7 linked regions of the Oryzias latipes genome follow. The protein of the gene in region 1 purifies or fractionates together with the protein of each later gene. This does not show direct contact. Links are inferred from orthologs where the notes say so. Each region holds a gene or a part of one and is shown in the gene's direction. Other genes may lie near its edges. The genes, in order: slc30a4, pds5b, c4h19orf25, cip2a, pds5a, mettl9 and fut8.

Region 1 (2,423 bases):
TGTGATTTCTCCACATTTAGTCAAATTCCCATAGAAAACGATTAAAACGATGCAAACAACAACCTTTAAGCATAGTTGCAAGCAAGGGAGTAGAGGTTAAAGCCAGAAAAATCTAGTATCCCTGTGAGCTATATGTATGGACGTTGCTCTGAAAACGTCTCTCTTTATGAGCAAAGTAGGTCAAATGTGAACTCTGAACAGAAAAGAGGCTGAGATGTCTGTTTAGCTTTTTTAAGACCAGGTCATTTGTGTTCACACTTGTGGTTTCTTAGTTAGAACACTAAGCTTATGTCAGCTGGCTATCAGCAACTTTTGTTTTGGTTTGCTTTCACAATGCACTTTTGAGAGTGGACCAAGTGCTTTGGCTGCTATTTCAGGGGAGAGGGTTTCCTGAGACACAGTTACAAAGGAGAAAATAATTTGGAAGAAACAAAAACGAAAACTCAGCTTGTGCTTTGTGTTCTTTTGTATTTCTGTGGGTTTATATAAAGAAGCATCTAAATCCGTCTCAGCTGACGAGAAATTTTCCAGATGATTCTGGTCTGAAGTTGCACTAGCTCCATCCCGTCAGGCTTTACTTGCTAACAGACATTTGACCCACCCTTTTAAGGCACAGCAGGATTCATCTGTTTAGTCCTCCTTTAAATTTCACATGAGCTTTCATGCTCATACAAATGAAGCAAATCTAAACAGCCAGACATCTTTTGCTCCTCATGCAGGTAATGGCTGACTCTTTTCCATAAAATCAGAGATGGAGAAGCAAATGTGATTAAAACTCGACTTGCAGACGAACTAGACTCAAACACATCAGCTTGTGTTTGTGGACCGGTCCATAAAGGCTTGTTCAGACTCTGCAAAACATCGGGGAAAGACAAAAATTCACCCAGTCAGCATCGTTGTATCACAGAAAAAGAAGTTTACTGCTTTTGGCAAAAAAAGAGAAAAATGTTCTGTTCAAGTGTGTTAAAAATTAATGTAAAGCAAGAGGTGTTTTGACAATCACTTATTAGGGTTGAAATCTCCTAAACATTGGTGTTTTTATCTTTTTTTCAAAAAAGACCAAATAAATTGTTATCTTTGATCAAGTGAGCCATGGATGTTTTCCAAAAAGCTTTTGTTTTTTGGCTTGGTGAAGGTTTTTGCTAACACAACAGTCCTTTGTCGTTGCAGAGGTGGTGTCAGCCGTGCTCAGTGTGGTGCTTATCTACATCCTGACTGGTGTTTTACTTTATGAGGCGGTTCAGAGGACTGTTCACCAAGACTTCAGCATAGATGGGGATGTCATGCTCATCACTGCTGCTGTGGGAGTGGCTGTTAATCTCATGTATGTAAAACCTTTGGATTATTATTCAAAGCCTTTCAAAAACATGCAAAGCCTTAACATAAGGTTTCTTTACAAAATAAAACTGTGCAAGTGTTATATTATAAAGTCATTATATAATATTTGATTTCAGTTCATGGGATTCAGTTCATCAGTTCCAAAAACGATGATGTAAGTTAAAGTTGAAAGATTATTGATGTCCTCTGGTCTTGGTTTTCTAGAATGGGCTTTTTGTTAAACCAAGGCGGCCACCTACACTCGCACAGCCACGGTCACGGCCACTCGCACAGTTCTGCAGCTGCTGCAGGTTCACGGCCGGCTGGGTCTGGTCAGCCTCATGGGAGCCTGGCTGTGAGGGCTGCCTTCATCCACGCTTTGGGAGACCTCCTGCAGAGCGTCGGGGTTCTTATTGCTGCCTATGTTGTCCGGTTCAAGGTACACTGACAAAAACATCAACAAAGAACTTTTTTCAGAACTTGCTTCTCATTTTTCTCTCATATTTAAATATTTGGTTTCCTTATTATTGTTTTCATTCTTAAATTTTACAGCCAGAGTTTAAGTTGGCAGACCCCATCTGTACCTACATCTTCTCAGTCCTGGTTCTTTTCACCACAATCCGCATCATTCGAGACACAATAGTCATTGTGCTGGAAGGTGAGTCTTTGCTCTATTTCCAATGTCCATTTAATGTCATCTTTGCTTCGGATAGGAGATCTATAACAGTAAAGTTTCTGTGATGGTATGTCAGGTGTGCCCAGACACCTTGACACTCAGCGAATCAGAGAAGACCTCTTGAAGCTGGAGGATGTCCAATCCATCGATGAGCTGAACGTGTGGGCACTGACGGCTGACAAGACGGCTGCTATAGTTCATCTACAGCTCAGTGAGTAGCTTCTGTCCAAAGCAGCCTGCAGGGTTTCAACATGTGGGGTTCTGTGGGATTAGGTTAACTGTCAGCCTCGGGAGTTGAACCAACCAACAGACAGAAGTACGACTAAGAATCAGCCTCCCAATTTTACTTGTAGTCTTTGAATACAAATACTCCTCTTGTACCTATTTATAGCTTTTTTTGAGGGTTCTTGACAGCTGGAATTTTTAGTTT
Region 2 (4,049 bases), on another chromosome or scaffold:
TGCCCAACACAAATGACGTCACTGTCAAGTTTGAGGCTGGCATTATGGTGGTGGAGAGCACCTGCAGTGATAAAGTGGAGAAGATGACAGGCTGGTGTAGGGATATTACCCAAGAAAAAAAGGACAGAAACACATTTTAATATGAATATAAAAATATTTAGTTAATATGAAACCATTAATTCATCATTTATACTAAGAAATAAATCTGTTTACAATCAAGCAAGTTGGCCTGCAAGCTAAAACGTCAGAACTGCCCAAGTAATACTTCAGAGTATGATGAAACCAGATGATGTAAAGAAGAATTAAAATAAAATTAATTCATGTAGGACTAAAGACCTATGAAAAGGACAGCAAACGCCCCTTATGAATAGACTCTAAGCATAAACAGCTGTAGTTAGAGAACTGATGGATGAAAGTATCATACATGCAAATTTAAATGAATAGGTGGTCAGACAAAAGAAACTGGTCATGAAGCCTCAAAAATAAGAATCACTGGATAGAAAAAGTTTGCTTTTCAAAGAAAAGTGAGATAGAAACTGAATCAAATAAAATTTATGTTTTTAATTTCAGTCTTAGTGTTTCTTGCTGTCAGATAGATAGATAGATAGATAGATAGATAGATAGATAGATAGATAGATAGATAGATAGATAGATAGATAGATAGATAGATAGATAGATAGATAGATAGATAGATAGGTTGGTTGATTGATTGATTGATTGATTGATTGATTGATTGATTGATTGATTGATTGATTGATTGATTGATTGATTGATTGATTGATTGGTTCAATATTGGGAACAAAGGAAAATACTAATATAAATTTGACGTCAAAGCGTTTCGTTGCGTTCACGCGTCGTCGGGATAGTGGGGATTTTTAAGTTCTCTGTGTTGATTTTAACGCTGAATAATTTTTTCTCATTAATATAATGAATTGCATGATATGTATATATGCATAAGGGATTTCAGAAATATAAACAGGAACCACAGCCATATTCAATAAATCACAAAACTAGAAAGTTCTCGTATTTTTTTCCAAACACAAATCTCGAGCTGAAACTGCTAATACATGATTTTATAATTATAATGGACTGATTAATAGTTGTTTGAAAATTCGTCCATCTTTATGTAAAGTACGCCAATATTTCCATTATTTCATTCAATGACTTGAACGCCGCATGAACGACTCAATTGGGTCCAAAAGTCATATCTGTAGTCGCCTATAGGTGGCACTACACACTTGCTGATAGTTTTTACCCATGGGTTCTGAATCTATGCATATTGGCGCCATTTTGGAGCTAGGAGGGGGAAGAGAGCTGCAGAGGAGGACGCTATTTATCACTATTCATCGTAACAGGTATGAAAATGCACTTGTGAGGATACCTGTTCCATTTTAAATTAGCAGCCTTTGCATGCCCGCTTGCGAAAACATCAGTTTGATCCGGGATGTGCCCGTGAAGCGGCCAGGTTTCTGGCGCAACAATGTGGAGTGCAGCCCGCCTCGTTCGCCTGTGTTCTCGGTAGTCTTGTCCGATTCACAGCGCTGGGTTGACTTGCTGCTTGGGCGCAAAAAACGGCTAGCCCGTCTAAAACTAGCTTATTAGCATAGCACAGTAAAAGCAAACACCAGTTGGGCTTGGTTGTGGGAAAAAGGGTCGAGATACCAGGTACGATATAAAGGTGGCTAGCCGGAGTGTTTTGTTCCATCAGCGTTACTGTCTGTCCGCCCTCTGTCACTGAGATTGCTGCTGTTGCTAACGCTAGCTTGCACGCGCTAGTCAATGTAGGAGTTAGCATGTGTGCGAGCCAGCAAACGGCGGCTAACACAGTTAGCTTCAGTCAACATAGCCAGACTCTCAGTAGTGTCTGCCTTTTTAACGGTCCCCGACCCCTAAAAAATGCTAATTAAAGCCTAATTGCTAGTTACAAACTATGGTTTATCTACCCCTCCCCCCTCAATTTAAACACATTGCTGGAATGCATCCCGAATACTAACTACAGTGATTTTCGCTGTTACTTTCTTCTATGAGATGACCTAGTGAGATAACATAAAGCCCTATAAAATACTTTCACCGTAATATTTTTCAACGCAGGTGATTAAAGAAAACGTGTACTTATAATTCAAATTCGTCGTATCATCTGATTTCGACTAACTACACGCCTCTTTGTTGCACACATTATGTTCATTAAATAATAGCATCTTGCAAAGTTTCCCCGTTCAAGATAGCAGTATGGAACCAGGAGGAACAGTTATGAAGTGTCAGTATGTTTGCGCTGACAGTCTCCTCCAGGGCGCTACGGCGTGTTGTTGTTGACAACCATCAAGCTGGCTGAACATTGCAGATGTGTGTGGGAATCGCGTTTTGTGTGGTCGTTGACACTGTAGCCATGACACAAGTCTTTTATGTTGACACTTACAAATGTATACAAAAGTTGTGTTGAACCAAAACTTTAACATTTCTTTCAAGCCGTTTGTTGATTTGTTTTCTTTTCTTTCTGTTAATGAATGACTTGAGTTGGATTTAGAAATTGGATAGGATTAAATGACTACTCGAGCATGCTTTGTTTCATTCTTAGCTTTTGATTAATGTTATTTGGGTATAGTTATGTGTTTCTGAACCATAGCCATGTTGTCTATGTAAACACATTTTATATATTTCAATTTTAGCTGAATTTTAAGGGAAATACGCAAACTACAATTGTGTGAGCATTGCTCACATGTTTGTTATTTATAGATTTGCAGGTTTATGACTGTTATTTCCTGTTTCTTTTTTGTTATTTTTGGACAGTTTTTAACTCTTTTGGCAGCCTTCGTTGAAATCTATTGTTGGTGTTTTTTCCTCAAATTTTCCAAAGTTGCTTTAATTTCAGTGAAATCAAGCTCTTTCACATTGTCAGCTCATTTTCCGTCCTTTCTTTGTGTTGGTGTGTGTGGGGGGTCACAGGGTTCGCCCTTCCAGACGCTGGTGTCCCTGCCACATTCTCTTGGCTTTCACTCTTTCCTTTCCTGGTGATTACTTACAGGGTTAAACCAATGTTGCCTCTGTCAAGGTTCAAGATTAAGGAAAGGAGAATAGCGCCCTGGCTGGCAGCTATATTTAAAGGATCAAAGTGAGCAGAGCAGAAGAAACAGCTTGATGGAAAACCCTCTGTGGGGTGGATACGTGTGTTGGACTGTGATAAACCAGTAAAGGCTTTTACAGTAGCTTGTGTTTAACATGTTGAGTGAAGGATAGAATGATTCTTAACTCTGCTTTAAAAATGTTTCTTAGATGAGTTTGGGGGGAAATCTGATTAGATTTCCATCCCTCAGTTTTCTTTTTTAAAAAAAGGATGTTGAAATTGCCTTTTTTTTTTTTAATCTCTATGTTTTTATTTCATTTTGCCACTTTAGTGCATTTAAGTCTATTGCTTCAATTCCTATTTTTAAGTCATTAAAATTGGCATTGTTCTGTATTTTTAATTTCTCTTAATTAGTTGACTCTCTGTTTATTCTACGTATTTTAATATTAAAAGCTTATCAGTAACAGATCCTAATTATTTTTAGCTTTGTTGTTGGTGTGTTTTTTAAGGTTGATTATTGGAGGTGTAACATTTCTTTTGATTTCAAGATAAGGTAGGAACTTGACCTACTAACATCTGTGTTGAGCAACCCCACTGTTGTTAGGTAGAACAGTGATTCAGTCCGATTTACAGCAGTTTTGACACTTTCTATAAGAGAGGATTTTTAAAAGCAGAAAAAAGTTATATTTCTTGTCTTCTGAAAGATCTAAAAGTTTCAAAATGCTCTCTTCTCTTATTTAAAAAAAACATTATACATTGTGTTTAATATGTTTTCTGTTTTTCATTCCAATCAAAAACAGTTAAGTAAAAGAGCTTAAAGTAATTAAATGAAACCTGACAGCTAATCAAATCTTTTCTAAATTTAGAAAAATAAACGAATATTTAGTTTGGAATGTTTAGTTTTAATCACCAAGATTAGATTTTTTTTTATTTTACTGTTTAAAATTAGAGTTGTGTAATACACATAGTAATAATAAGGATTAAAAAA
Region 3 (3,631 bases), on another chromosome or scaffold:
ATTTTCTTCTTCATTCTGACGGATCCCAAATGAAAATCCGTTAGTGTCAAAGACTGGTTGATTGTCTATCAAGTATTATACAGAAATTGCATGTCAGATCTCCTGTTTCTGTCTTTTTCATTTTTAATATATTTATTTATTAGGATTATTGGTATTTGAAGCTCCTGAAACTTGTTAAAGATCACCATCTACCTTAAGGATGTAGAGAATCTCTGTTGTTACATTTTTACTTGTTCCATCTTGATGAAAACAATCTTAGAATTCAAAACGTTCTGATTAAAACAAAACTATGTGAACTCTGTCCTTTTGAAGTGTTGTTTTTGTTGCTGCTTACAGGTTTTTGTTGCAGAATGTTGTCAAAATCGAACATTTTTCAGAAATGTTTTGTTTCTTTAGATATTGCAGAGTACGACACACTTTTAAGGTGGGTGTGATCTCTAGATGTTTTTGTCTTGCTTACGTGATTTGAGAAGAAATTCAAATTCTGCATGTAGTTATTTGTGCTGCAAAAAGTGTCTGGTTCAAATCCCAGCTTTCTTCTTTTGTTGTGGAGTTGCAGCATTTTTCTGAGCATAGGATTGAGTGTGGCAGCCTAAATGAACCCCTCAACATTTCCAGGTTATTTGCCCCCCTCCCAAACCAAAGGAAGCTGGGATAGGCTCCAGCCCCCTCAATGACTCACCACAGGATAAAGCTGGACAAGGAGATAGATGAATATTTCATTTGTCTACCTTATCTGGCCTATTTAATTTCTTTTCAAATCCAGGATTCAGAGCAAATAAATGTTTACTTTTTATTCACCAATATTTTCACGCAAGTGCAACTTAAAAAAAAGTCTTTGTACTTGCTCACTTTTTTTGAAATGAAGAGGAATTAAATGAATAATAAAGAGGAATTAAATGAATAAAAAATTAAATGACCCTTAGAATTGCTTTATCTGCTGTTTTTTATTTGGCCTCAGGACTTTTTCTTTTATGGGGGTAATCTTTAGCACCACCCGCAGATCGTTTTGTAGTTTGCCAGTTTGCTACATTAGCTTGCTAAATTTGAAGTTTCGCAAAAAGGTTTCAATCTAAAACTACATTTCAAATTATTTATGAAATATACTAAATATACTAAATATAAACTACAAACTATGTGAACTTTATTGTGACATTAATACTTTTCCTTACTGACTTCATCTTTCTGTTTATTATTTCAATTAAATTTACCAACATGAATCATATTATTTATTTATTTATTTATTTATTTATTTATTTATTTATTTATTTATTTATTTATTTATTTATTTATTTATTTATTTATTTATTTATTTATTTATATAACAAAAAAGCTCAGTTCTTGGTGCAGGTGCCACTCCAAACCTGAAGGGGGAGACAATGCACCTCAAGGATGGTTGGCACCGGATGTCAGTTTGCGAGAGCCTGCGCATGCGCTGGGGGTGCTCACTGTTGACGTGACGCGTTCATGTTCGGCTCTTGTTGATATTTGTGCACATATCACGCCAGTTTTGAGACCCAAGATGCAGTTGAGGGACCGAAATTGACAACAGTTGCATCCGTCTCGGTAAGGCTTTAAAATCTTTACTTTTGAAACTAATCCCGAGTTTGTTTTAGACCATTTTTCTGATACAACTAAAACCTCTTACAAAATGCATAACGTATAACTTTACGCCATTCTTTTCTTATTAAAAATGTAAATGTTTTGAAAATATCGACTGAGAAACTTTTTCATCGTTGTGGTTCTTAAACGTGTCTTTCAGATTAATTACTCGTCGCTGTTTATATTTGTCAGCAGATTAGCCTAATGCTGGTTTCCCTGTATCTGAAATTAAATCCTTAAAAATATTTTCGAAGTTTTAATATGCAAAAACTTGCAGAACTTTCTCAGTTCTTTCTGCAATTTTAAACACTGTTTCGGCTGTGAACGATTTCTGGCTGCTATTTAGCCTCATCACATCACTAAAAACCTATCTGGTGGCTCCACACTGATGAATAAATGAATGGACGAACTTTATTAATCCCAACAATGGGAAACTCAGTTCCAGTACCTCTGCAGCTCTTTAAGAAGAATAAGCACAAATAAAGAAATGCTACATGTTTAAATTAATTATCTACAGACTTATTGATACTAAGCAGATCATAAAAGAAATTTCTGATTAATGCAGAGGTTCTGTATAAATGTACATTTTGAGGGTATTTCTTGCAGAACATCTTGGTTTGTATTTCAGAAGTTGGAGTCAGTTTTGTTGTAATGAACCTCGGATCGAAAGGCAAAAAACGGGTGGTGCTGCCCACCCGCCCCGAACCCCCCAGTGTGGATCAGATCCTGGAGGACATCAGCAGAGCAGCTCCAAATGACCCAGTCTTCAGCATCTTGGAGAAAACTGGAGAAGGCGAGTCTTTGTCCCCCAAAATAAAGTTGACCACTTTATTTTGCCTGCGAATGATGGGACTTTGATTTTAATGTTTGAGTGAATGTTTGTTGTGTGCTTTTCGGCCTCTAGATCCGACCCTGCCTGCAGACAGCGAGGTGGAGTTCAGGTTCCAGCAGTGCCGGCAGTATCTGAAGCTCAATGAGAGCCTGAAACATGCTCAGGGTCAGCTCCAGACGCAGAGGGGGGAGCTGCAGGCGGCAGGGGAGCGGCTGGACAGCAAGGTGGCTGAGGTCAAAGGCCAAGTTCTATAATCCCGAACTGAATACTGAACTGTTACTGCGGTGCCAACAAGCTGAAAATGAGTGGTTTGGAATGGGAAAGTCATTATCAGTTCAAGAAATGAATCAATCTTGAAGAGTAACTGGAAAAAGGGAAATGTTCCTTAGGCTGAATCGCGACTTTCTGCATCCCTTCTCCAGTCGCAGAGGAATTCAGCTGTGTCAGTGTGTACTTGTTTGGGCTGCTATATTCATAAAGCTGATATGAGCTTTTTTTTTTTGTTTTTTTAATATATTAACCCAGGTTCTCAACAATTGTTTTCAAGTGAATGTACAGAAGGTTTAGGGTTTTCATTTCTGTTTTATTTAATCTACTTGTAGTAATTTTTCTGAACACAAGAAAACAGAATCTACTTTTTGATTTTTAATGCTATCGTGTTAAAACAGAGACAAGAAATAAAAATGGAACTAATTAATTTGTAGATATTTTATTCATTTATTTTGAAAAAATTTGTTTTTATAAAACATTTTGTAGAACAATCTGTGTTTTCATGGAAACACCTTTACAGAAGCCTTCTAGAACCTTATAGTTGTTTGGGTTGGAGAAGAAATGGTGTAAAAAAAAAAGTAACCTGGGTGTTTGATAAAATAAAAGCCCAACACAATGGTTTTAAGAAAACACCACTTTTATTAGATGATGGCATTTATAATGACACAACCTGTCTTTTTCAAATGAGTGACCAATGTGGCCTGGTACACTTACAGGTGGGAATTTGACTCGGCTACAAACTTTGATCCCGTCCTGTCTTGAACGAGGCAGTTAACAGCGGCGGTGAAGAGCTGCAGACGTTTGTTAATCTATTTGTCATGACAAGTTCAAGCTGCTAAAGTGTTGCTTTTACTCACGTTTGTCCATTTACAGTCATTTTACTGCATCTGCTGAGGAAGAAACAGCTCAGACGGATGTTTTAGACAT
Region 4 (4,047 bases), on another chromosome or scaffold:
AAAATGTGGCACGACAGCCTGGCGAGCTCAGCTAGCGAGTCGGGTGGTTAACAAAGAGACGGGGAGATCCACAAACCGAGAACAAACTCGGCCGATCTAGGGAAGGGCTGTATTTCGACACAGTGACAACCGCCCTCACCTGTACAGGAGGCTCAGTCCTCATTCAACGGAGAGATTCGGAATGGCAACGGTAGAGATACGCAAAGTCGTCCTTTGTGTTGGAGATTAGCCGCTCCGTGTCACTGCTAGCTGTAATGTTAGCTTGTAGGCTAACTAGCGGTTAGCTAGGCGGGACGGAGCGGTTTACTTAGCGCCAGAACCGGCTTCACGTCACCGAATTTGGTAAAAACAACGTTTACTTTACGTTTGAATCTAAATTAAATATTCCGTTTTTATATATTTTTTTTTTCATTTGAGTTTCCAGCAGTTACATTATCTGTCTCCTGACAACAACGATGTTATTTTTATATTTCCGCCTGCACTCAAACACGGTTCAAACTGCTCCCTGTCTGTCTCTCTTTCCGCCCGCTTTGCTTGCATCGATTCAAGAGGCGCCAACCCTTTGCACCAATCAAAGAAGTCTATCCTAGACGTTTCAGTGTCTCCTTTTACGATAGGTCAGCTGGCCCGACACTGATAACCAATAAGAATCAGAGAATCGCTGGGGCCCTGCGGTGGGGACATGTGCGCCGGTTTTCTTTGTTCTCCAAATTGTTGACGAAATAAAATATAAAACAACAGTTACATAAAGCACAAACGTTTAGCACAAACAGCACAACAGATTTATAATACAAGTTTTCAATAAAACATTTGTATAATAAATATTATTGATTAATCATTTAACATTTAAATTAATTTAGGAGCAATCCTAAAATAATATGAAATTGTTTATGCTGTTTTCATGTCCAAAAGTATGAAAAATATTTTTTTCAGTCATTTTCAATTTTTTTTCCTTCATGTCTTAATTGGTTAACTTCAGAATTCTCTTTGTGAGTTTGCAAAATTTGTAACAAAAAAGTTAAAAAACATTTGATAAATATTTTTTTTACATATTTAACAAAAAATATATTTTGTTACTTTTTGAGTGTGTGCGTGCGTGTGTCTGTATGTGTGTATGTCTCTACGACGGTGATTGGTTACCTGTCTTGTTGCGTCATCACTTCGGGTGATATCCATAAAATTGGGGAGGGGGGATTTTTAGAATTTTTGTTTGTTTGTTTATATAGAAAACTTAATGGTGACGATTTAATGGGCCTTATATAAAACACCACTTTCAATAAAAAATATACTACAGACTAATTTAGAAGGCAATTTGATGTTCATCCAGTCAGTTAAAAAAAGCTTTCCCGAACAACCTTTTTTGGACATGGTTCATTCCTTCTTCGTTCGAACCTGGAAGCGGGAGGACGTCGCTTTGCTTTAGTTGATATTAATGAATGGTAGAAAAGTGAAGTGGCTGAACAGCTATAAATGTGCTAAAATAAGTTAGCGGGATTTGTTTGTTTGTTTTTTTCAAATCACAGCAAGAAAATTGGTTGTCCCGCGACTAGTGTTTGCCGTTGAGCTAACTTGCTAGCGGGCGTTAGCACTTGTCATAACAGTCCCCCAAGATGGACACAACGACGTGTTTGAAGTCTCTGCTGCTGGCTATCCAGCAGTACAGAGACGGCAGGACGGCGCAGCAAGCAGCACAGCTTCAAAAACAGGTGGAGGTGAGCACCAGCGGTCAGACGTAGTCTTTGTCACTGCTCGTGTGAGACGTCATCTGTACTCTGTCACTGTGAGGAACAACAAACGCAGAACTCTGCAGCAAAACTCACCTTTATTTTGTCTTGGCACAAATGTTTGGTTCGTGTTTTTGTCAGAAACCCGCAGGCAGAGTTTGTGACCTGGAAACATGAATGTGATCAGGTTCTGATTTTGCTCCTGAACTCTTGGCCTTTCCCTGATATGCATCAACATAACAGAATTAAACAGATCATCTGGGTTGCTGACCAATCCAGAACCCTGCTGGCTGGCTGGCAAAGAAATAATCAGTCGAATTAGTATTCCATTCAGAAGTGCACGATTCAATCAAAGTTACGGTTTGACATAATTCAATTTAGTTTGCACCAGTTGTTGCACCTGCCCTCCTTTGCCCTCTTCGGAGTGAGCTGCTGGGGGGGTGGGGTGGATGCACTGACAGGAATAGGAAGAGGATCACCAAACTGGTGCGAGGATGTTACGGAAACTGGAATCCATCATGGACAATCCTCTTCACCTTCATCATCCTCAGCATGTGACCACTGAGCAGCTCCTTCAGTCAGAGACTAACAGATCACTGCAGGAAGAAACGCTTCTTCCTGTCAGCTCTTAGACTCTACAGCGCCTCATAGACGCTGAATCATAATTATTGTTGTCATTAATTCAAGTGTATTTGGAGTGTTGTTTATTATCTGCTGTTTTTAATAGAGCTACGCTCACAAGGAAATGTCCCCTTTTGTGGGATCCATTTTTTCAATTCTGTTTGTTGCGTGTTTGCAGGAAGTTTGGGGCTTGAAATGCGAGCAGCTGCTGACATCTGGCAGCGCTCTGACCAGCGAGTGTGTGAGCATGTTGGTGGAGCTGACTGCAAACCCGCACACTGAGCCCAGCCTGAAAAGCTCCATCATCTCTCTGTTGGCGCAGTTAGGTAGAGTTCAAAAGTTAAATCTTACCAAGCATGTTTGTACCATATTTAGCTAAAAGAACTTATTGCACTGGATACAATACATAATTACCCCCTGCTTTACTGAGTTAATTACCCATTTACAAAGAGCACAAGTGACATGCTACCTGTCAGGTCATTGCAGTTTATAACTCCACACCTCATACCTCCACTCTACTGGAAATGAAACACACACAGTGTACGTATGGCTTTGATGAATACAGCAGGAATTTCTGTCCAGGTTTCATTAGTTTGCTCCTCAAATATTTGATCATTTTTTAAAAATGAACCATAACCAGATCCAAAGAAACCACAGAAACGTGTTTGTGTTCATAAACCAGGAGAGGTTTGCAGCAAATGATTAGCATTAACACGTTTAAGTCAGATCAGTGAGACGCTCTTTGGATTTTTCATGAGTTTAGGAGGAGGAATTTCACAATCTAGATCTGATCTTTCGGACTCATCTGCTGCACGTTTTCCTCCACCCGCAGCCTCTGACAACTCCACCCGGGAGCTTCTTCACAGCAGCTACAACCTTACCAGCACCCTGGCTGCTGTCATCCACTGCTACAGCAGCACTCCAGGAGAGCCGCTGGTGCTGCAGGTGAGAGCAAACGGTAGTCATGGTGAGGGAGTGACCGATCTCAGAAGGAGCCCCCACTTTAGACAGAGCTTTCTGTCGGAACTGTGCTCTCCTGTTGTTTAGATGTTCCTGCTGATGCCTGATTAGGTCTCATCCGAAGCTGCTCCCACGTTAGCTGGCTGCTGAAACCCATTTCTCTCTAAAGAAAAAAAATATTGTGTTACAGTCAGGACCATAAATATTTGGACAGAGACACGTTCTGTCTAATTTAGTTTCTGTACATCACCACAGTGAATTTGAAATAAAACAACTCAGATGCCATTGAAGTGCAGACTTTTAGCTTTTATTTATGGGTTGAACAAAAGATTGCATAAAAATGTGAAAAAGTAAAGTGTTTTTTAAAACACAAGCCCTTCATTTTTTACCAGAACCATCAACCTGACTTTAAGCAATGACATAAAATTGTTTTCAATAACTTTAAATTATATATAAATTACATTTTCTATAGAGGCAGATATATATAGATATAGATATATAGATATAGATATAAATATATTTTTCTAATCAGTTTTTTTTAAATATTCTGATGTGGGTGCTTTTCCTGACCATTTTCTCTTATAATATTTTGCCAAAATTCTGATTTGGGTGATTATTATCTATGCTTCTGCTCCTGTTAACAGTGGATGTCACGTTGTGCTGGTGGTGTTTCAGTGTCTGCAGGTGCTGCAGAAACTGACCTACAACACTCGCGTCTTTCAGTCCAACAGCTGCATCCACC
Region 5 (3,500 bases), on another chromosome or scaffold:
TCTTTACTTTACTTTATTCTACAATTAAAGAGGTTGTAACTGCGGAGACCTTTTGCAATCAAAACAGATCTTATAATAAATGAGAAGGAAAAGAAATATGGCTGTATGCGCATGCCTGCTTGTGGAAGGCATCTACCTAAGACTTAAAAACAACACAGTTGTGTATCCTAATTTTCTTGTGAAGGTTGGCCCTTTCAGGAAAACTATGTACTTAAGGATGTAACTCTGGAATTGCTGGCTACTTTCAAAACCCACCCCTTGAGTTTCTTTGTGTCGACTTTATATAGAAAACTGGACAATGCTGTGTGTGACGTCACCCATAGAGAATACCTTACCTCCAGCTCCAGCGAAATGAAGCCTAATCATTAGCCATTTTTGCATGACACCCCACCATCTTGGAGCCAGACGACAGTGATTGATCCTAGTCGGTTACGTTTCTAGGGCAACTACTGTGGCCAATCATGAGTAAGCTTGTTAGAAGTCCACACTCCTTCCACTGAAAGCGGGCCAGGGAGAATGCGTCAATCAAATGTTCAAGGTGGGGGCCAGCATTATTATCACATGCTTTTTATTAGCCATCTGGTTGGTCAGTTTAGAATTTGAATAACTTGTGATAAAGAAAAAATGTAATGAAAAAAATAGATTAGCAAGAAAATATTAAGAAAAATGTATTGGAACAAGAACATTTAGTCTGACCAATGGAAGGACTTAGGCACAGCTGTTCTAAATAGAAGTCTCTGGGTTTTTGTTTGCTTGGAGCCAGCATGTACTTCCTATTTGGAATGCAAGGGGGAGGGGTCACTCAGTCCAGTTCTCTGTATACAGTCAATGGTTGAGGTGCAGACGACCCTAGCCTTAGCTTTGCTGATATGACAACTATAAAGTCTATAAATGAGCTGCTGGTTTTTTGTTCACACGGAGGGAGAAATGACAGTTCTGGAAGTTGTGCAATGAGTTCTCATGTCACTGTCATCCATCTTCTCTTTTTTTTTAACAGTTGCACGGATGTAAAACTAAAAAATGTATTGGATAAAAGTGAATACTTGCCAGAAAGTATCTGCTCTTTGAAGAGAAACCTTCATGTCAATTTAAATTGATGTCTGAATAACTTCTGTTATTATTAAAAATAAACCCCATCTACAAGTAAATTCAAAAATCGTGTAACTTAAGAAATCAGATTCACATCGTGTGTGTGGTTGCATGGAATCACACACAGTTTGTCTTCAGGCTTCAGTCATATCTGCTGCACCATTACAGAGCTTCAACTTTGAGACGTCTGTTCTGACCTCCAAGGTTTTAAATGAGGAAAAAGTTGCATGATGTGAACGTAGAAGCTGGAAAGACAGAAAATGAAATTGATGACAATAGAGCAGCTGCTGGTTAGCCGACTGTTACAGTAGAAATCAAAGCAATTGACAGCTGTACCATCTGTCCCTGATATGTTTAAGCCAATGATGGTTTAAACAGCTGCGTCATTTTGCTGTGTTTGCATTTGTATACTAATCTTGAATTCTGTCTGCTCAAGAATTTTATGTAAATAGTCTAATAACTCAGATCTTGAATATGACACAACCATGTAAATACATGTTTCATCATCTTTTCTGGAAGTGATTTATCTTACACAGAGGGGCTTTTCTGTGCTGTGGAGCAGCCTTCGACAACCTGTCTCTGCTTGACTTGATGAAAAAAATACTTTGTTTGCTTTTTTTGTTTTTACAAAAGTTTCTGACAGAAGCTTTCATTGATCCCTCTGGCATCTTTGAATTATAGAGGAGCAGCAGAGCTCAGATTCTGTTTTTTCTTGGTACATTTCTCAAGCTCAATCTTCGATCTCAAGCTCTAAACAAACATTCTGCATCGGGTGTCTTCATGAGCTATCATGAAGTCAGACTTTATTAGAGTAAATTTAATATTAAATTACAATAATTAAATTAAGGATCCTGCAGCCAACGACATAAATAAAAGTGATTTTACTTTAACACCTTCCTTTATCTTGACAGATGGTTGTGAAAACCTACATGGACATGGATCAGGACTCAGAAGAGGAAAAGCAGCAGTACCTTGGCCTGGCGCTCCACCTCGCCTCCGAGTTCTTCCTAAGGAACCCAAATAAAGATGTCCGGCTGCTGGTGGCCTGCTGCCTCGCTGATATCTTCAGAATTTACGCTCCCGAGGCTCCTTACACCTCCCACGACAAACTCAAGGTTAGCAGCTGATGCTTTACCCAACACAGTTTAAGTCAGAATTATGGAAAGATGGTTTAAATGCATCATATCCTGAACAATTCACAGGTGTATTGCCATTACCAATAAGAGAGGGGAGCCACCAATATATTTGACTTATTTTCTATGCCAACTTCACGATATTTCAAAATAAAACAAGCAATAAACAGCAGTCAGATAAAAAACGTTATGTTGTTAAATCTGCTTCTTCTACATCAAATAATAATAATGATAAAGTGTAATTATTTTTAAATTCATAACCATTACAAAAAGTAAGTATTTTAACTGCATTCTGACACTTGAACTAACAGGAACAAATGTGTTTTAAATCACTTTAACATTGGTGTTATTAGTTGTTTGCTCTGTAATTTAACAAGACTTTTGGAAAGAAAACCTATAGTTATTGATTTTCATTTGAAATTTGTTTCTTGATATTTACCTTTTTGCCTCTTCATTTAAATAAACAGACTTAAAAAGTTGTTTTGCTGTAAGAGTCCACTGCTAAAAGGGCAGATGTGTTTGTACGGATATTGGAACTGAGTTCAAAATGATTTATTTCTGCAGGACATCTTTCTCTTCATTACCAGACAGCTGAAGGGACTAGAAGACACCAAGAGTCCTCAGTTTAACCGTTATTTCTACCTGCTGGAGGTACAGTAGAAACGAAGCCCAACTAAAAGTCGCTTCTTCTTTCAGATTTTTGACAATAAGCTTAATGTCTTAATATATGACTATAAATAAAGTCATTTCTTTTATTTCTTTATTTATGTATTTTTTATTGCTATTTATATATTATTGAAAGTGTCTGTTTTTAGAATTTAGTCAGACTAAATGTCAAGTTTCTTTGTCTCAAACAAAATGCAGTCATGCACAAACCAATCAAGGTTTTTTTTTCCAAACGTTTTTTTTTTTTTTTTCTAGAACCTTGCATGGGTGAAGTCATACAACATCTGCTTTGAACTGGAGGACTGTAATGAGATCTTCATCCAGCTCTTCAAAACGCTGTTCTCCGTCATCAAGTAAGGCTTTAGAAACCTGCTCTTACCTGTAAAACTCTTCCTGCTGGAGACTCAGGCGGTCTGATAAGCACCTTTTGAAATAGACGGATAATTTACATCAAATACTGAGTGTCCGCTTAGTCATAGAACTGCTTTCCTTTTGCTCTTTTAAGCTAGTTTGTTTTAATGTTCCATTTAAGAAAAATGAAGTGTAACATTTGAGTGTTTGGTCTTGAACAGTAACAGCCACAATCAGAAGGTGCAGATGCACATGATGGAC
Region 6 (4,087 bases), on another chromosome or scaffold:
CATCAGGTAATACTCTCAGGAGGAACAGAAGGCATCTGAGGAAAACACACTCAAGTTTGTTTAAGGACACAACTCTGAATTTGGACTCGGATGGACTATTATCTCAAAACCCAGAGTCAGTTGATCCACCAGCATGTGATTCCCCACAGAAATCATCTTCAGAGAGTATGGAAAACACAGCACCGTACTTCACACGCAGTGGTCGAGCAGTCATACGTCCTGCCAGATACAGAGACTAGTTAATGTGACAGTTTTGTGTTCATACTGTTGCTTTGATTTGTTTAATGGTTACGTAAAAGAAAAGAGTATGTTCGTTTTAAAACATTTTAAGAAATAAGTTAAATGTTTGTATGTCGAAGTTTCAGACTACTGCACTAAGATGCACATTGTTAAATGTAAGGTTGTTTACAATCTGAATTTGCCTAGCCATTATGTTAAGAGCATAAGACCGTCTAATGTTCAAATTATTTAGAGGGTGCTTTTGTGTTTAAACAACTGTTGAAGATGTTATGACTAACATGTCTTGGGAAAAGAGGGATGTGGTATATTGTGATAGACAGTAATAACCACCGCCACCAATAGATGGTGCTGTCGGCCTGTATATGCCATGAGGGGTTTCAGAGTAAAGTACATGTAAAAGCTCTTGCACCGAAAGCTGTGTCCCTGTCGTCGGTCCTAATTAAGAGACCCGCTGATAGCACCCACGCTAAGGTAACTCGGAGCAACATCATATAAAGTCACAACAATTATTATTATAATTATCATCATCATCATCAGTCTAATGGAAAACATTTTTTTCCAAGTATTGAAAATCATGATCGTATTTGTTATTTTTATTGTTTTTACATGTTTGAAATAAATAAATCACTACATACATTCGGTATAAGTTAGATACTCTGTATGATTAATGGCTTGAAATGTGGAACCCCCTTTTCAGCAGGAAAACAGAAAGTTGCCGGTGTTTGCCGACAGGGGGCAGTAAATCCCCAAAGATTCGGTGCTATGTCAACCCAAACACCCAGAAGAAGAATGCGGATATGGTTGTTTTTATTGTTAAAGGGGGGAGTGTTTCTCATCCCGGCTCAGTTTCTGCCGTTTCAGCTCAGCAAACAAAGCTCCGCTTGGACTAAGATGGTGCGTAAATAGCAGCTTGCCTCCGTAAAGTCCCCCCACGCCCACCTCAGGTTGGTTTACAGTCCTGGAATAGGAGACGTTTCTCCTCTCGGGGTTTTCTCGTCTTACCTGCTCTTGTCCCTCTGCTGTCGGCTGCCGCTCTCTCGGCTCTCAGACATTGTTTTCCGTATGTGTCATCTACAGCTGAAGACTCTGTTTTTTGTAGCCTGGCTGCTGGGCTACGTGGCGTTTCTGCTCTCCATCAGGAGAATGTGGACCGCTAAGCACGCGCGCAGCCCGCTCGTGCGCTCTCTAGTCCTGAATATGGTGAATGAGCACGAGGCCAGTGGTGCCAGGGAAACACACGAGGTACGACTGTCCTTATTTTTTTTCTGAAAATATAAAACTACAAAATCTAAATTTACAGTGTTTATTTTAAATCCAAGAATGTCCTTATTCGAATGTGTCACGAATTTGTCATTAGTTATTTATTCGTTGCTCGTTTAGCCTCTTTGCACTGACCTAAATGATTCAGAGGGATGCTGAAAAGAGAAACTTCTGTTTTGCAAAAGAAACTATGCTGAAAGAGACAATGTGACAGTAGTTTTAAAGATGACTGGGATTGAAACACAAGGGGGGAAATTGGTTTTGCACAGGAAAGACTATTTTTTAACATTTAAATAGGAAATAATTCTTAAATTCTACTTTCTGCTGTGTAGTTTAACACAGCCCCACCTCTGCTGAGCTGAGAAAATTCAATCCAAACAGACCTGAACTGTTTTCAGGGAGGGGCTGTGGGGTAGGTAAAGGGTGGTATTGTATGAGACTGGTGACAGGAGATGGAGTTCACCTCAGGACTTCTTAAAAAGTGTTGTGAAATCAAAACCTCTTGTTCTGTTTGTTCAGTGGTACCGATGCTGCCCAGATCTGCTGGGAGAATCCGTCCGGCCTCTCTTCATCCAAAGCCACTTGGACTCGGACACCACGGATTTTCTCAACAGGAGCGCAGAGAAGTCCGGCTGGCTGTTCACGCAGCTCTACCACTCGCTGGTGTCCACCGTCCTAAGCCCCGTTTTGTCGCGCACCTCCATTAACGGGTGAGCGCTAGTGGGTGTTTGAATTGCAGCTTGTGTTCCTCTTCCTGCTCCTGACCCTCCTCTGTGTCACAGGGTTTTGGGGAGAGGGTCTATGTTCGTGTTTTCGTCCGAGCAGTTCCAGCAGTTGCTCCGGATCGGCCCAGACTGGACGGCAGAGAGACTCCTGGACCTTGGAGCTGGTGATGGAGGGGTCACAGAGGTGATGGGAGTGCATTTCAGGCAGGTCTTTGCAACTGAGGTGTCTGTGCCAATGAAGTGGCATCTGCAGAGGAGGAACTACAAGTGAGTAGAAGCATATCCTAAAAGCTTTCACAGGTTCCTTCCCTTCAAGCCAATACAAGAATGCAACCACAGAATAACACTGTGTTCTTTTGGGTTGAAATTAATTGGCAATTAGAAGTTTTTCCTCTCTGTCTTTTTGTTGTCTTTTCCCGTGTGCCACAGGGTTCTGGGTATAGACGAGTGGCAGCATGTTGGATTTCAGTATGATCTTATCAGCTGTCTGAACTTGCTGGACCGCTGCGAGGATCCACTGCACCTCCTGCGGGAAATAAGAAAAGCCTTGGTTCCCAAAACCGGACGGCTCGTCTTGGCTGCTGTGCTTCCCTTTCAGCCCTACGTAGAAGTCGGTCAGTGAGGAATCCCATTTCTGTCTCTTCTGCTGACGTTTCATCTAGCTAGAAATCCAAGCATCGTTTCTCTGCTTGACAGGCGGGAAGTGGGAACGACCAAAAGAACACCTGAAAGTTAAAGGAAAGACGTGGGAGGAGCAGGTGACCGATCTGTCCAGCGAGGTTTTCCCGCGGGTGGGGTTTGAGGTGGAAGCGGTGACGCGTCTGCCGTACCTGTGCGAGGGAGACATGTACAATGACTACTATGTGCTGGATGATGCGGTTTTTGTTCTGAAGGCCTCCGGCGACTCGGAGCAGTCTGTTCATGAGCTCTGAACACAACACGGGGCCCAAAATTTCTTCTCAGTACCTGGATTTTAGTGCAATTCTTCTTCTTCTTCCTCATGCATTTATTCATCTCGGAAATTTAGAAGCAGGGAGTTGGGCGCAACACAGCAGTGATTTCCTTTTTCTTTTTTTTTTTAGTTTGTTATACTGTTATTTCAAACGAAAACCTAAGGGGGATCATCCTTTCTAAAAGTTTTTCTGTCTTCCAAGTCCATTATTTGTGATGTAAATGTTTAACTGTCAACGTTTTAACCAAAATTTCTGACAATATTTGCATAAACGGTTCAATTTATAGTACTACATATTTGATTTCACCATTGCACAAGATTTTTACAATTGCCTGTTCACCCTCTGAGACATAAAATCCCACAGAGGTTTTCCAGGTGAAATATCCCAGAGGTGAAGCACTTTATGAGCGTTTCACGTTGTTCCCCCCTCAAGGTTGGTAATGATGGCAAGATCCCAAGCATTAGTTGCACAATGCTGGACGCCGCTCCACTAAGATGCATTTGCTACACGACTGCAGGGAAAACATGCCGCTTGGCCTATAGGAGTGTCACACCTTTTGGCATCTTTCTGTTGGATTATCAGCGTAATTCTGTGCCACGTTTGGCACCACCAGATCCTAAACTTGATCATATTTTACGAACTGTTTCATTTCCAGATCACTCGTAATGGATCTATGCACCTGACCAAAACAGTTTTAACAACTTGAAATCTTTTCCATCCTTCGATTCAGTATTAAAGCCAAACCTCAAGCTAAACTTTATGGAATTCCATGCTTTTGTTTTGCTTTGTTGCACTGAATTTAATATCAAGTAGTGAATTTCTTTCTAAGTGACAACAGGAAACCGAAAAGTGCTGCATACGTTTGATATATTCACAATAAGAGTATCTGATTGTAGCTTTAGATCTATA
Region 7 (3,500 bases), on another chromosome or scaffold:
ATAATGATAATATATGCCATTCTAACTTAACTTTTATTGAACTTTAAAATAACAATGCGGTGCAATTTGAGTTTTTTTTTAGTTTGGAGCAAAAGGATTTTGACGTATTTTCCTATAGTAATTTCTTTATTTCTAGATCCTAGCTCCTAATGAGACGAAAACTTTTGCTGATTTTGAGAAAAATGCTGTAGATTTAAGTTAAAACCGTTTGAAATATCTCAAATGTCTAAAAACAAGGTTTTAAATATTTGCAAGTGTCCAAAAGTTTGCAGATTGCATAAATGCAAGTCAGATCTCAAAGCCATGTTCTGCTGTCATGTTTTCTACTTGTCTTATTGAGTGCTTGTTGGTAATCAGACAAAACAACTTTATCATGATCTACATTTGTGACTCGAATTTTGATAAAATGTTTTATGAAAACCGCTAAATGATTATTTGCACTCAGGAAAACCCAGATAACCCACATCTGTTTTGTTTCTAAATCCATAGTGTCATGTTTGACCCCCCCCCTCCCTTTTTTTTTTTTTTAAATCATTCTAGGGGAGGCTCATGATAAGGACGTTCAGGTTGTGGAGTTGCCTATAGTGGACAGCCTTCACCCTCGACCCCCTTACTTACCCCTGGCAATCCCAGAAGACCTGGCCCCGCGCCTGCACCGTCTGCACGGCGACCCGTCCGTCTGGTGGGTGTCCCAGTTCGTCAAATACCTGGTTCGTCCTCAGGGGTGGCTGGAGAAGGAGATCCAACAGAGTACTGCCAAGCTGGGCTTCAAGCATCCCATCATTGGGTAAGGAGGCTGTGCTTGTGTGGCTCTTTTTTTCTTGGACTTTAAAGCTCCAGTAATGCAGTTTGCTCTTCTATTACTCATCTGCAGTAAAGCTTTAGAAGAGCTTTATGATGAAAGAACATAAGACAAAGAAATTCAAGAATGGAGCCTGAAATTAACACTGAATGATAATAGTGGAAGGCCAATTCTGGAGTTTTTTTTTCAGCAACTTCATTTGATAGTGGCTTTATTTTCTACATTTATGCACTCAAGGCTTCAGTTTTTACTGTTTTTCTGATAATCATCCAACTCATGTTCATTCAAAACAGCCTAACTGCCTGTTTTGCATGAAATTTCATCACTAAACGATCTGCACCCTCTGGAACCCCCACAGTGTGCTGCAAACAACCATAAGTTCATAAACTTCTCACTGGGTTTATATTTATGCATCCCATATATATATATATATATATATATATATATATATATATATATATATATATATATATATAAACATTTCTGATGGTATTTTGAGGCTTCGTGTCCCGCCCTGGGAGCCTCAGAAATGTTGGGGATCGAACTGTCGATCTCAACTTCTTTGATCTAGTTGTTGTCGACGCCCCACTAAACGCTGGATAATTTATATGAAGTATGACTAAAGACCAAAGGCAATTTCAGAGCCGATAAATCTCAACCCAACAAGCAACGAGATCCATTATTACTGGAAAAAAAAACCAACACAGTGGCCTGGCAGCCATTCTTTTATCTTCAGTGGTCTTTTTTAATTAGTGCTGCCGTTTTATTACATTTTTCTTCTTGTCAACAAATCCCACGAGAGGCCTAAACACAGCAGTCTTATGAAAAGCTGACCTACATTGTCATCCAGACTCTGCTAAAACTCACAACCTGCACATTTATTCCTGATAGTCCCCAAATGTAAAGTTAGTTTTAGTTTAAACCCTGCTAACTTCACAGACCTGTACTTTTTTATTTCTTTAATCAGAAAGTAAAGCATTATTGATCCAAGCAGGTCGACCTTAGAGGGATCACATTACTTTGCCCATAAACTTTGAACACAGAGGGTATTAAAGAAGAATACGCTGTTCAGTTTTGTTTAAATGTACAATTTAAGACAATGGAATGAGATAAAAGTATGGGGTCAAATCAGTGAATATAAAAACAAAATTTGAAGAAAAAAAAGAAATCTGAAAACAGTTTTAACAATGTAAACTTGTAACAAATATTGTAATTAAAAAAAGTACATTTGAAAAAATAGATTTTAGGCTCGAAAGAAATACTGAAAATGTGAAAAATAAAATGTTGCATTTGAAAAAAAAAGGAAAATTTGAAAATAGTTTTAAACTCGAAATTTTTAAACCTTCAGGAAGGAACTATTGAAAATTTTAAAAACAAATCTTTTAATTTGAAAAAGATAAATTTGATACCTAAAAGAAAATTTGAAAAATAGACATTTTAAATTTGAATTTAAACAAATTGAAAGCAGTTTTCAACATAAAATTACACATCGAGATAAATAAAATGGTAAATTTGAAGAAGAAAAAATACATTTTAAAGAATTGTTAAAAATTAGAAAAAAATAGACAACTTTGAAAAAGAAAATTGAGATTTGGAAAACAGTTTTGAACTTAAAAGTATACATGGTAAACTTAGAAGAAACATTGCATTTTTTCAAAGTACATATGAAACAATAAACCGAAAAATGCTACCATTTGTAACAACTGCTGGTTTTTTTTTCAACTTTTTTTTTTTTGTTTGTTTGTTTGTTTCTCTCCCTTTGCTCTCAGTTGTTCCATTTACAGTTTTCATTCAGAATTTTCCCTTTTGGTGCTGAGCCTAAGTTTACATTTTCAAAATTTCATTTCTTGTTTTTCCATATTTACCATCTGTTTTTTATTCACTTCAAGCTGATCCTGATTTGACCCCATATAGAAAGTCAGCTCAAAGCCTCACTAAAGCATGATTTTCAAGCTTCACATATTAATAATCTGTAGGTGATGTTTTATGCTGTCAGTAGAATTTCTTCATTTTTATCAAATTCTGAGCTGTTGGCTGACTTTTTTTTTCTAAAGATATTCTTGCATGAATAACATTATAGCTGTAATTGAGCTTAACTCTGTTTTATTCGGTCATAAACGTGTTTCCTCTAATCCTAACGTAAAGGACGAAAGCCATCCTCAGTCATTTTAATGTCTGTTTTTAGTGCAGTAAACCCTGATCTTCTTTAATTGTATAAATGTTCACCAGATTACTTATGAAAGCATCTTTTCAAGCAGCTCGGCTGGACACATTTGGAAGCTTGTTTACGCTCACTAACCAACACTGGTGTTCCTTCCAGCAGCCTCTCCTGACTCATGAATAATTCTTTCTGTCAGAACTTCAGACGTTATGAAAGATTCTGTCTTGTTGTTTTAACCCATTTAGTCTGGTAGACTCTGGGACAGCATGTATGGTTTCCACAGGAGACTGTAGAATCCGTAGTTCGTTTGCTAACCTTTCCGCAGCTTTGCATGAGACCTAGCTTCAACTCTTCAAAAGAGGAACTAGTTTAAAAGTTTAAATCCGTCTCCCACGTGGTTCTGAGTTTTCCTTCATCTTCTATTTTTCTACACATCTTCTTTGCATTTAGCTGCAAGCCATCGCCAGCAATCTCTGTGTTTTCTTCTGTTTCTCGTTGTTTTTTTTTTCTCACTTTCCATCACCTGGTTCGTCTCAT

The links.
Region 2: the proteins of slc30a4 (region 1) and pds5b purify together in Homo sapiens (affinity purification with mass spectrometry; 3 studies listed by BioGRID and IntAct, counting the BioPlex papers as one, with this or other methods). This does not show direct contact. The link is inferred for Oryzias latipes from reciprocal best matches to the Homo sapiens genes SLC30A4 and PDS5B.
Region 3: the proteins of slc30a4 (region 1) and c4h19orf25 purify together in Homo sapiens (affinity purification with mass spectrometry; 3 studies listed by BioGRID and IntAct, counting the BioPlex papers as one, with this or other methods). This does not show direct contact. The link is inferred for Oryzias latipes from reciprocal best matches to the Homo sapiens genes SLC30A4 and C19orf25.
Region 4: the proteins of slc30a4 (region 1) and cip2a purify together in Homo sapiens (affinity purification with mass spectrometry; 3 studies listed by BioGRID and IntAct, counting the BioPlex papers as one, with this or other methods). This does not show direct contact. The link is inferred for Oryzias latipes from reciprocal best matches to the Homo sapiens genes SLC30A4 and CIP2A.
Region 5: the proteins of slc30a4 (region 1) and pds5a purify together in Homo sapiens (affinity purification with mass spectrometry; 3 studies listed by BioGRID and IntAct, counting the BioPlex papers as one, with this or other methods). This does not show direct contact. The link is inferred for Oryzias latipes from reciprocal best matches to the Homo sapiens genes SLC30A4 and PDS5A.
Region 6: the proteins of slc30a4 (region 1) and mettl9 purify together in Homo sapiens (co-immunoprecipitation; 3 studies listed by BioGRID and IntAct, with this or other methods). This does not show direct contact. The link is inferred for Oryzias latipes from reciprocal best matches to the Homo sapiens genes SLC30A4 and METTL9.
Region 7: the proteins of slc30a4 (region 1) and fut8 purify together in Homo sapiens (co-immunoprecipitation; 3 studies listed by BioGRID and IntAct, with this or other methods). This does not show direct contact. The link is inferred for Oryzias latipes from reciprocal best matches to the Homo sapiens genes SLC30A4 and FUT8.

The regions. Positions count from the first base shown.
Region 1 is NC_019861.2:12,910,575-12,912,997, reverse strand, and holds part of slc30a4 (zinc transporter 4), read left to right. Parts: intron 1-1,170; coding exon 1,171-1,324; intron 1,325-1,542; coding exon 1,543-1,756; intron 1,757-1,869; coding exon 1,870-1,975; intron 1,976-2,069; coding exon 2,070-2,204; intron 2,205-2,423. UniProt on the Homo sapiens protein: Probable proton-coupled zinc ion antiporter mediating zinc import from cytoplasm potentially into the endocytic compartment. Controls zinc deposition in milk.
Region 2 is NC_019872.2:9,916,994-9,921,042, forward strand, and holds the start of pds5b (sister chromatid cohesion protein PDS5 homolog B), read left to right. Parts: upstream 1-1,249; 5' UTR 1,250-1,355; intron 1,356-4,049. UniProt on the Homo sapiens protein: Regulator of sister chromatid cohesion in mitosis which may stabilize cohesin complex association with chromatin. May couple sister chromatid cohesion during mitosis to DNA replication.
Region 3 is NC_019862.2:22,306,201-22,309,831, forward strand, and holds c4h19orf25 (UPF0449 protein C19orf25 homolog), read left to right. Parts: upstream 1-1,407; 5' UTR 1,408-1,566; intron 1,567-2,230; 5' UTR 2,231-2,253; coding exon 2,254-2,395; intron 2,396-2,506; coding exon 2,507-2,688; 3' UTR 2,689-3,131; downstream 3,132-3,631.
Region 4 is NC_019878.2:3,256,982-3,261,028, forward strand, and holds the start of cip2a (protein CIP2A), read left to right. Parts: upstream 1-1,247; 5' UTR 1,248-1,610; coding exon 1,611-1,712; intron 1,713-2,523; coding exon 2,524-2,671; intron 2,672-3,177; coding exon 3,178-3,290; intron 3,291-3,980; coding exon 3,981-4,047.
Region 5 is NC_019859.2:13,072,760-13,076,259, reverse strand, and holds part of pds5a (sister chromatid cohesion protein PDS5 homolog A), read left to right. Parts: intron 1-2,000; coding exon 2,001-2,204; intron 2,205-2,786; coding exon 2,787-2,873; intron 2,874-3,143; coding exon 3,144-3,241; intron 3,242-3,460; coding exon 3,461-3,500. UniProt on the Homo sapiens protein: Probable regulator of sister chromatid cohesion in mitosis which may stabilize cohesin complex association with chromatin. May couple sister chromatid cohesion during mitosis to DNA replication.
Region 6 is NC_019877.2:20,101,629-20,105,715, forward strand, and holds the start of mettl9 (methyltransferase-like protein 9), read left to right. Parts: upstream 1-1,287; 5' UTR 1,288-1,302; coding exon 1,303-1,482; intron 1,483-2,019; coding exon 2,020-2,210; intron 2,211-2,282; coding exon 2,283-2,492; intron 2,493-2,654; coding exon 2,655-2,839; intron 2,840-2,921; coding exon 2,922-3,157; 3' UTR 3,158-4,087. UniProt on the Homo sapiens protein: Protein-histidine N-methyltransferase that specifically catalyzes 1-methylhistidine (pros-methylhistidine) methylation of target proteins.
Region 7 is NC_019882.2:5,661,912-5,665,411, forward strand, and holds part of fut8 (alpha-(1,6)-fucosyltransferase), read left to right. Parts: intron 1-540; coding exon 541-787; intron 788-3,500. UniProt on the Homo sapiens protein: Catalyzes the addition of fucose in alpha 1-6 linkage to the first GlcNAc residue, next to the peptide chains in N-glycans.